Anolis sagrei: one gene and its partners. The protein of the gene in region 3 purifies or fractionates together with the protein of the main gene of each other region. This does not show direct contact. Links are inferred from orthologs where the notes say so. Each region holds a gene or a part of one and is shown on either strand. Other genes may lie near its edges.

Region 1 (3,753 bases), on a different chromosome or scaffold from region 3:
CACTGAACTCAACAGATATCAGATCTGGACCAAACTTCACATACAGACCCAACATGGCCAACTGTGCATACAGGCCTGGTTTGGGAGTGATTGACTTTGGATCTGGGAGTTATAGTTCATCCTTATCCAGAGAGCCCTGAATCCAGCCAATGACGCATCTGGATCAAGCTTGGCACACAGACCCAACATGGCCAACCGTGAATGCTGTCAAGGGTTTCGGGGTGCTGGGGTGGTGATTGCCCTGGGAATCGTAGTTCAGCCTTATCCAGAGAGCACAGAACCCAGCCAACAACAGATCTGTACCAAACTTTAGAGGCATTACCTAACATCCCGAAACAAACAATGCCTTCTTTTAATAACCCAGGCACCTCCGGGTTCCCAAGCTAGTGTGTGTATGTGTGTGTATGTGTTAAGCTTAGGATAACACTGGGAATGAGTGATACCCATGCGGAGATTCCTTTGCTGTCTGTGCTCCTGTTCAGGAGATTTCAGCTCACTTTCTGTCCCTGTGATAATTGGATTTTGAAGAATTTGGCTTGTTGTAAAAACAAGGATTGGTGATACAGTTTCAATGGAGACCCCTTTTCTCCATGATAACTCCTCTTTCAGGAGTGGGTTTCCCTTCTGAGGGGTATATTTCTCCCCCTGTTGTCTAAGCCCTGTTCTTAACTAGGAGTCATTTGTAAGTCCCATGTTTACAACTTGGGGGCGGCCTGACCTGCTAGCCACACCTATTTCTTATTTTCCACCAACTGGTTATGAAAGGGAGTTTCATGGATTCTTGATAGCAATCCTATTCCTGCTCTCCTGAGAAAGAAACACAGCTCATGTTTATTGGACAAGGACCTACATCAGTGTTTCTCAACCTCCCTAATGCTGTGACCCCTTAATACAGTTCCTTATGTTGTGGTGACCCCCAAACATACAATTATTTTTGTTGCTACTTCATATTTGTAATTTTGCTACTGTTATGAATCATAATGTAAATATCTGATGTGTAGGATGTATTTTCATTCACTGGACCAAATTTGGCACAAATACCCGATACGCCCAAATTTGAATACTGATGGGTTTGGGGGGGAATTGATTTTGTCATTTGGGAGTTGTAGTTGATGGGATGTATAGTTCACCTACAATCAAAGAGCATTCTCATAATGTAATATCTGATGTGTAGGATGTATTTTCATTCACTGGACCAAATTTGGCATACCAGATACGCCCAAATTTGAATACTGATGGGTTTGGGGAGGGATTGATTTTGTCATTTGGGAGTTGTGGTTGATGGGATGTATAGTTCACCTACAATCAGAGCATTCTGAACTCCACCAATGATGGAATTGAACCAAACTTGGGAAACAGAACACCCATGTCCAACAGAAAATACTGGAAGGGTTTGGTGGGTATTGACCTTGAATTTTGGAGTTGTAGTTCACCTACATCCAGAGAGCACTGTGGAGTCAAACAATTATGGATCTGGACCAAACTTGGCACGTATACTAAATATGCCCAAATGTAAACACTGGTGGATTTTGAGGGAAATAGACCATCACATTTGGACGTTGTGGTTCCTAGGATTTATAGTTCACCTACAATCAAAGAGCGTTCTGAACTCCACCAATGATAGAATTGGGACATACTTCCCACTCAGAACCCACATGACCAACAGAAAATACTATGTTTTCTGATGGTCATTGGCAACCCCTCTGACACCCCCTCATGACCCCCCCAGAGGTCCCGAGCCCCAGGTTGAGAAACACTGACCTACATAGAATTTAATAGGTCATAGAACAGCGCTGATCCTTCAATGTAGATCAGGCATGGGCAAACCTCAGCCCTTCGGGTATTTTGGACTTCAATTCCTGGCTGTTAGGACAGGCCCGTAGCCAGGATTTCGTTTCGGGGGGGGGGGGGGGGGGCTGAATTTTTTTTCAGGGGGGGTTTCGGGGGGGCTGAATTTCGGGGGGAGGGGGCTGAGTCTGAGTGAAAGAGGGTCTAGCCTAGCAAACCTTTTGTATCATTACCCCAATACCCCCATGCATATGGGATATATTGAGTATGGTGATCAGATCATGATATGAATAAACATAACAGTTTAAATAATCCACCATTAAGGCCTTTTTGCGAACCACCATGAAAATTTCGGGGGGGGGGGGGGCTGAAGCCCCCCGAGCCCCCCCCCCTGGCTACATGCCTGTGTTAGGAATTGTGGGAGTTGAAGTCCTAAACACCTGGAGGACCCAAGTTTGTCCATGCCTGATCTACACTGTAGTGACGCTTGATGCTTTTTAACTCCTGTCAGAATTGTAAACACAAGCAAAGACCTATCTTTCCCAGCCCATTTTAAACGATGGATTTCAAACGTCCATTCTCTTAGTACTGTATCTTAATGCAGAGATTATCAGCTTTCATATATGTATGATAATGCGTTTTAACTGAAAGGGAAAAGAAAGGGGTCTGAGGCTGTTAAGAATTGTAGGAGTTGCAGTCCAAAACACCTGGAGGGCCCAAGTTTGCCTCAGAACGAATCTTTCCCAAGGAAACACCACACAAGCTTCACCTTCAGAAGGCAAAAGGCTCTTAGGTGGTGTATTGTCGAAGGCTTTCATGGCCGGAATCACTGGGTTGTTGTAGGTTTTTTGGGGCTATAGGGCCATGTTCTAGAGGCATTCTCTCCTGACGTTTCGCCTGCATCTATGGCAAGCATCCTGCGGATGCTTGCCATAGATGCAGGCGAAACGTCAGGAGAGAATGCCTCTAGAACATGGCCCTATAGCCCCAAAAAACCTACAACAACCCAGCTCTTAGGCACTACCTCAAATTCTTCAGAGAAGAAGGCCGCCTCGGGCTGGGCGCCTCACCGGTTTGCTGAAGGACTTGGGCGCCTTCCTGCTCCAACGGCGGCTGCGCCCCGCCTTCAGGCCTCATATCCGCCGCCATCTTGCCGGACTTACATCCGGGTCCTCCCGCTGCCGAGTCACGGCTTCTTCACCAGCGAATGAGAAAGCGGGACGTCAGAATTCGTTTCCTCGTCCAATGAGAGGGGTAGGTATCCTTGAACCAATCATGTGGCGAGGAAGGGAAAAGAAGGCGGGAAGTGAGGAAGCAGGACCAATCAGAAGAAAGGGAGGTATTTAGATGACAAGGCTGAGTATTTAACAAGGGAGATTGTATGAGTAGGCGTCAATACCATAATGAGAATACCATAGTAGTGATTTTTATTTTTAAATATATATTAATAAGCTTGTTCCCTATCTGGATCCATAGGGAGAAGAAAAGGGAAATATAATAATAATAATTTAGGCATTAATAATAATAATAATAATGGACATGTGGACAATTTCAATAGAAAGGAAGAGACCATGAAAATAATATATATTATTTTTAAATATATATTAATAAGCTTGTTCCCTATCTGGATCCATAGGGAGAAGAAAAGGGAAATATAATAATAATAATTTAGGCATTAATAATAATAATAATAATGGACATGTGGACAATTTCAATAGAAAGGAAGAGACCATGAAAATAATATATATTATTTTTAAATATATATTAATAAGCTTGTTCCCTATCTGGATCCATAGGGAGAAGAAAAGGGAAATATAATAATAATAATTTAGGCATTAATAATAATAATAATAATAATAATGGACACGTGGACAATTACAACAGAAAGGAAGAGACCATGAAAATGAACAAAATCTGGCTACCAGTATTAATTAAACTCTAAAATTACAACAGCAAAACAGCAGA
Region 2 (3,753 bases), on a different chromosome or scaffold from region 3:
TGTTTATCCTGCAGAAGAGAAGGTTGAGAGGAGACATGATCACCTGGCTTGTTTTCTGCTGCCCTGGAAACTAGGACTCAGAGCAATGATTTGAAATTATAGGAAAGAAGATACCACCTGAACATTATGAAGAACTTCCTGACTGTAGAACTGTCCGGCAGTGGAACTCTCTGCCTCAGAGTGAGATGGAAGTTCCTACCTTGAAAGCTTTTAAACAGAGGCTGAATAGCCACCTGTCGGGTGGTGCTTTGATTGTGCTTTTCCTGCATGGCAGGGGTTGGACCTGATGGCCCATGTGGTCTATTCCAACTCTATGATTCTATGAAAATATCAAGGGGACAAACAGTTGGGGAATTGTTTTGAATATGTTGTTAGTTGCCCTGAATCTAATTACTGGGAGAAAAGAAGGATTTACATGAATAAAATGATGATAATGATAATAAAACCCCAGGCTGGCTACAGGGAGTACACAATTCCCTTGTTGCAACAGCTCCATTGGCTGCCACTTTCTTTGAGGGCACAATTCAATGTGCAGATCATGACCTATAAATCTCTATATGACTCAGGTCCAGGGTTTTGGAAAATTGCATCTCCCTGTATAAACTTGCCTGGGCCCTGAGATCCTCAAGAGAGACCCTTATCTGGTTGCCACCACCATTGCAAGCACAGTTGGTAGGAAGACGAGACAATGCTTTCTCTATGGCCTTCCCCTCAACTGCAGAACTCTCTGCACTGGGAAGCCAGAATGGTCCTTTCCTTGCTGTCCTTTTCATTCATGCTTTTACAGAAGGCATTTTTAAGCACTAGCTTGGGGAGCGATAGTTTAAGATTAAGGGAAGTCATGCTACCCTTCTATTCTGCCTTGGTCAGACATTACCTGAAATACTGTGTCCAATTCTAGGCATCGCAGTTTAAGGGAGATGTTGACAAACTGGAATGTGTCAAGAAGGTGACAAAATGATCAAAGGCCTGGAGAACAAGCCCTACGAGGAGTGGCTTAAAGAGGTGGGCATGTTTAGCCTGAGGAAGAGAAATGAGGAGACATGATGGCTGGTGGTGGCTCCTCGGCTGTGGAACGCCCTTCCTACGGACATTAGACTAGCACCATCTCTAATGGTATTCCGCAAAAAGGTGAAGACCTGGATGTTTGTGCAGGCGTTTAAGTAATTTAGTGCAATCTGGTAATGGAACATAGGAATGGAACAATGGACGACGAACCTGGACTACGCTTGGATGATGAGAAGATTGGGTACGGTTGTTTTTTGTAATAACTGTGCATTGTAATTGCTTATTGGTAATTTATGGATAATGTGTTAAGTCAATTGTTATATGTTGTATGGAACCACTGCTGTTTCTACTGTTTGTGAACCGCCGTGAGTCGCCTTCGGGCTTGAGATACAGCGGTATATAAGCAAAGTAAATAAATAAATAAATAAATGATGAGAGCCATGTATGAGAGCCAAATATGTGAGGGGAAGTCATAGGGAGAAGGGAGCAAGCTTGTTTTTTGCTGCCCTGATGACTAGGATGTGGAACAATGGCTTCAAACTACAGGAAAGGAGATTCCACCTGAACATGAAGAAGAACTTCCTGACTGTGAGAGCAGTGGAACTCTCTGCCCCAGAGTGTGGTGAGGGCTCCTTCTTTGGGGGCTTTTAAACAGACGCTAGGTGGCCATCTGTTGGGGTGCTTTGAATGTGATTTTCCTACTTCTTGGCAGGAGGTTGGACTGGATGGCCCACGTGGTCTCCTCCAACTCTATGATTCTATGGGGGTGGTCCTGTAGAATATTTGATTATTTTAGAAGTTTTCAGGTGATTGAAATTGATTTCTATATTTAATTCCATTTTAACATTTGTATGTTTGTGGGGATTAAATGGTATTGGGTTTTTTCAATGTTGTGAGCTGCTTTGTGTTTTGGTCAAGAGATAATAACACCCCTGGACTAAGAGATTCCTCCGCCAATGCAGCCTACTTGACTCATTTCCTGTTGAGGTGCTTACCAATCCCTACGTGCGATACAGTTGCTGCTATTGATGCCATAGTAAGAGGCAACGAAATCAGCTATTTTTCCGAACTTGTTTACCAGTCGAAGCAGCTCGATCGCAGCGGCAGGAGGATAGTGTTCCCCGCAAATCAACCCTGCCTAAGCTCTAGCGTGACTCCTGCGGGGAATGGTCCTAACCCCAGGGAGGGAGGGAGGGAGCCCCAGCCGATGGGTGGCTCCGCCTGCTCCCATGAAGCGGCCCCTCTCCCACACCGAGCCACCCGCGCTAGGCCCCGCCGCCGCCCCGCCTCCAGCCCCAAACTCAGGCCAAGCCGGCCCTGCTCCCCTCGGCCCCGCGGCGACTAAGGAAGCCCGGGACCTCGTCGGGCGGCTGGCTCGGCTCTCCCGCCCGCCCCCTGCCCGCCTCCGCCTTCCGCGCCCGGCGCCAACACCTGAAACTGAAGCAGCTTCTCCGTCTGCTCCGCCGACAGCTCCCGCTCCTCTGGAGCCGCCATTTTCCTGCCGCCTCTGACCCGCGATGGCGTCACTCGCCGGATGTGACGCGACAATTCGAAACTTCCGCTGGCTTCTACGCGCACGTGCCGAGGGGGCGGGGCGGAGGGGAGGAGACAACGAAGGGACATCTTCTTGGAGGGCGGGAAGCTGATCTCGGGGACTACAATTCCCAGAAGCCCCCGCGGTGAGAATGCCTCTCTCCATATACATACATGAATCAGCGTGGCAACCCGTGACAGGCATCCTATCTTTTCTGGAGGCTGTGCTTTCTAATCACGCCCGCTTTTGGTCGCTATTTGGAGAGATGACGCGGGATATAAATATAATAATGCCATGATAATAACAGCAACCACTTCCGGAGGAGGGAAGTGGGATTCCTCAATGACGGCGGAGAGGAGGAAGTAACCGGGTTGTTGTGAGTTTTCCGGGCAGTATGGCCGTGTTCCAGAAGCATTCCCTCCTGACGTTTCGCCTGTATCTGTGGCAGGCATCAACCCCTGAACGCGCCTTGTGAAGAAGACTCTGTGAGAGCTTTGTCCCAGGGATGCCTTAGGACTGAAATGGAGGCTCACTGCAGTGACACGAACAAGGAATAAGTAGGAGAGACATATTTCAAGCGACATACTTGGAGGAAAGGAAGGATTGTGCTGTTAAAAGAGGGCCTTGGGAAAGAAACCAGAAGACTAAGGCAATACAGATACAGAGAAGAGGAAAAGCAGTGCGGTTCGGGAGTTCATTTCTGTGAACCTCAGGCATAATATTTGAATTTTTTATATTGTGTAAATGCTATTTTAGACTGTAAGTCGCTCGGAGCGACTAAGAAATGAAGTGAAGTGAATTATAAATAAATAAAAAATGGAAAATTTCCATCCCTGTTCCACATCACATACAGAGGAGGAGCTACATAACTGTATGGACTGTGGGAAATGTTTCATGGGGAGTAGTTCTCTTACTGAACATCAAACTCATACAGGAGAGAAGAAACCATATACATGCGTGGAATGTGGAAAGAGCTTCAGTCAGAGTGTGCACCTGCGTCTCCATCAAAGGACCCACACAGGGGAGAAGCCGTATCAATGCACGGAATGTGGAAAGTGCTTCAGTCGGATTGACAGTCTGCATTCCCATGAAAAGACCCACACGGGCGAGAAGCCGTATCAATGCATAGAATGTGGAAAGAGCTTCAGTTGGAGTGATGGTCTGCATTCCCATCAAAGGATTCACACGGGGGAGAAGCCGTATCAATGCAT
Region 3 (3,753 bases):
GATTAAATGTCCTTTGACCAGTATCTGGCCACTTGGAGCGCTTCTGGTGTTGCTGCAAGAAGGTCCTCCATCGTGCATGTGGCAGGACTCAGGTTGCATTGCAGTTCTCCCTAATGTTCAGATGGAATCTCATTTCTGTAGTTTGAAGCCATTGTTTTGTGTCATAGTCTCACTGTAAAAGTTTGTTACACTTTTGCACCTTTACTTCAATCTCTAGCTTCTTGTAACCCATGTGAATGATCTCTGACAAAAGCTTGGAGTTCCACATTTTGGCGCCTTTGCGAACGAAAATTGTTTGAAATAGCAACCTTCTTCAAGCCTCCACTAGTTGTTTGTTATTGCTTACAATATTGTATATGTGTGTGTTGGTATGCAGTTTTCCTTAACTCTGTGTTGTGGGAGGGGCTGCTGACGATGTGATCAGACCTGGGACTATTCAGGACTCAGACTCCATTTTAGAAGGAGTATGCTTTTAGATGTCAGTAGAAACAGAATGCTTTAGGAAGAAGACAGAGGCTCCATTAGACTCTGAAACTTTAGACTTTGGGCTGTTAATCATTGAATCCTAGAGTTGGAAGAGACCTCATGGGCCATCCAGTCCAACCCCATTCTGCCAAGAAGCAGGAAAATAACATTCAAAGCACCCCCGACAGATGGCCATCCAGCCTCTGTTTAAAAACCTCCAAAGAAGGAGCCTCCACCACACTCCGGGGCAGAGAGTTCCACTGCTGAACGGCTCTCACAGTCAGGAAGTTCTTCCTGATGTTCAGATGGAATCTCCTTTCTTGTAGTTTGCAGCCATGGCTCCATGGGGTCCTAATAATAATAATAATAATAATAATAATCTTTATTTGTACCCCGCCACCATCTTCCCAATGGGGATTTGGAGCGGCTTACATGGGACCAAGCCCAAACAACAATTACAATAAAGAACAACCGAATGCAAACCGAAAACGCAAACAATAAACAACATCATAATTACATAAAACATATGAATATACAGCAATATAAAATTACAATAAACACAGTGACAATGGGTGGGCTACATGTAATGGTTAAAAGAACTAATTAAAACTGGTTAAAAACTCGAGTGAGATAAAAGAGAAACAAATTATTTGTGGAGGAGGGCTCATTATAGTGGGAGATGTGGAATCAAATTTTCCCACGAGGGGGGGACGGGGACGTATACTCCAGTAAGAGTCCTAGTCTCCAGGGCAGCAGAAAACAAGCTTGCTTGCTCCTCCTCCCTATAACATATTCCCCTCACATATTTATACATGGCCCTCATCATGTCTCCTCTCAGCCTCCTACTACAACTCCCATCACCCCCAATATGCAGATAAGCTTTGTAAGGAGGGGAATGGCTTAGGGAGAGGGAGGGAAGCCTTGATTCTGGTGCACATGCACTCTGGGCTGGGAAGGAATGGGTCCCCCTGCTCCTACTCCCACTCTCATCCCGCGGGGCCTACTATGTAAGTAGATCAATAGGTACTGCTCTGGTGGGCCATCCAGTGCAACCCCATTCTGCCAAGAAGCAGGAAAATTGCATTCAAAGCAACCCTGACAGATGGCCATCCAGCCTCTGTTTAAAAACCTCCAAAGAAGGAGCCCCCACCACATTCCAGGGCAGAGAGTTCCACTGCTGAACAGCTCTCACGGTCAGGAAGTTCTTCCTAATGTTCAGATGGAGTCTCCTTACTTGTAGTTCGAAGCCATTGTTCCATTGCGTCCTAGTCTCCAGGGAAGCAGAGAACAAATTCGCTCCCTCCTCCCTATGACTTCCTCTAACGTATTTAGATTCCAGGGCAGGGAGTTCCACTGCTGAACAGCTCTCACAGCCAGGAAGTTCTTCCTCATGTTCAGATGGAATCTCCTTTCTTGTAGTTTGAAGCCATTGCTCCATTCCGTCCTAGTCTCCAAGGCAGCAGAAAACAAGCTTGCTCCCTCCTCCCTAGGACTTCCCCTCACATATTTACACATGGCCCTCATCATGTCTCTTCTCAGCCTTCTCTTCTTCAGGCTAAACATGCCCAGCTCTTTAAGCCGCTCCTCATAGGGCTTGTTCTCCAGACCCTTCATCATTTGAGTCGCCCTCCTCTGGACACATTCCAGCTTGTCAACATCTCCCTTCAATTGTGGTGCCCAGAATTGTATTCCAGGTGTGGTCTATCATTATCATTATATTATTATTATTATTATTATTATTGTATCATAATAATCATTATTAATGTGTTGTTAATAGACTTTGGGCTGTTAAATGATCAAGGGTCTGGAGAACAAGCCCTATGAGGAGCGGCTTAAAGAGCTGGGCATGTTTAGCCTGAAGAAGAGAAAGCTGAGAGGAGGCGTTTGGAATCCTCTCTGTGAGGCCTGAGTGTACAATCCCCCCTCGATTTCTCTTCGAAGACCCCAACCGATTGCGGCCTAGCTTCCCCTCAGGCCTCCCTCCCCCCTCAGGCCTGCCTCCGCGCTTCCCTCCGCCCCCAATCCCTTTCCGGGCGCGACTCACGGACCACGGCGGCGGTGGTGAGGACGCAGGCGGTGGCGTAGGCCCGGGTGACCGGCGGAACCTGAAGGTACTCCTGGCGGAAAGTCTGGTACGCCATCTTGCCTGGCGTGGCCCCACCCTCCTCCGCCCGGCCAATCGGAGCCCGAAGCGTGTTCCCCTCCGTCTAGCCAATCCCAGCCCTCCGCTTCTCTCGCCCGGCCAATCAGAATCGCCTTTTGCTCGCCGGCGCCGCCAATCGCAGCCCTTCCCCGCCCCCTCGCCTCGCGCCGCCGCCCATTGGTTCCCTCTCTCCGCCAATGGGAGGCCTCCACCTCCGGATAGCTTTGGGTCTGGACCAATGGGAGCGCGGGATGGGCAGGAAAAAGAGGAGGAGGCGTGGCCAGGCGAGGTTTTCAAGAATGGGCGGGAACGCCGTTGCTTTCCATTCCGGTCAGGCCTGGTGGGAAGTCAGTCCTGTTTATATGTATAGCAGACGCAGGGATTGAAGGTTTGCCTCCTTTGGGGTAAGTCTGTACTTGATTCTGCATGTGTAGAGGATATGAGACAATAATAATAAAGGGTATAATTTCATTGTACATATGCACACATAGATATATACCCATAAATACATACATATATATGTATACAATTATATTATATATATACACAATATATATAATATGTGTAATGGTACAATGAAATGTGTAATTTCATTGTACATATACACACATATATGCCCAAATACATATATATATATGTGTGTGTGTGTGTGTGTATAAATATACACACACACACAAAATTATATTATATTATATTATGTTATATATATTCATGAGAGCCCCAAGTGGCGCAGTGGGTTAAAGCACTGAGCTGCTGAGCTTGTTGATCGAAAGGTCGCAGGCTCGATTCCGGGGAGCGGTGTGAGCTTCCGCTGTCAGCCCTAGCTTCTGCCAACCTAGCAGTTCGAAAACATGCAAATGTGAGTAGATCAATAGGTACCGCTCCGGCGGGAAGGTAAGGGCGCTCCATGCAGTCATGCCGGCCACATGACCTTGGAGGTGTCTACGGACAACACCGGCTCTTCGGCTTAGAAATGGAGATGAGCACCACACCCCAGAGTCAGACATGACTGGACTTAATGTCAGGAAACTACCTTTACCTTTACATATATATATATACACACACACAATTATATTATGTTATATATATTCATAATATATATAATGGTATAATTTCATTGTACATATACACACACACACATACAT

The links.
Region 1: the proteins of DERL2 (region 3) and SELENOS purify together in Homo sapiens (affinity purification with western blotting; 3 studies listed by BioGRID and IntAct, with this or other methods). This does not show direct contact. The link is inferred for Anolis sagrei from reciprocal best matches to the Homo sapiens genes DERL2 and SELENOS.
Region 2: the proteins of DERL2 (region 3) and FAF2 purify together in Homo sapiens (affinity purification with mass spectrometry; 5 studies listed by BioGRID and IntAct, counting the BioPlex papers as one, with this or other methods). This does not show direct contact. The link is inferred for Anolis sagrei from reciprocal best matches to the Homo sapiens genes DERL2 and FAF2.

What each region holds. Positions count from the first base shown.
Region 1 is NC_090029.1:22,354,977-22,358,729, reverse strand, and holds the start of SELENOS (selenoprotein S), read right to left. Parts: upstream 2,982-3,753; 5' UTR 2,938-2,981; coding exon 2,859-2,937; intron 1-2,858. UniProt on the Homo sapiens protein: Involved in the degradation process of misfolded endoplasmic reticulum (ER) luminal proteins. Participates in the transfer of misfolded proteins from the ER to the cytosol, where they are destroyed by the proteasome in a ubiquitin-dependent manner.
Region 2 is NC_090022.1:78,305,699-78,309,451, forward strand, and holds the start of FAF2 (FAS-associated factor 2), read right to left. Parts: upstream 2,551-3,753; 5' UTR 2,503-2,550; coding exon 2,440-2,502; intron 1-2,439. Other genes in the region: zinc finger protein ZFP2-like, read left to right, coding at 3,359-3,753. UniProt on the Homo sapiens protein: Plays an important role in endoplasmic reticulum-associated degradation (ERAD) that mediates ubiquitin-dependent degradation of misfolded endoplasmic reticulum proteins.
Region 3 is NC_090031.1:30,188,973-30,192,725, forward strand, and holds the start of DERL2 (derlin-2), read right to left. Parts: upstream 2,632-3,753; 5' UTR 2,607-2,631; coding exon 2,514-2,606; intron 1-2,513.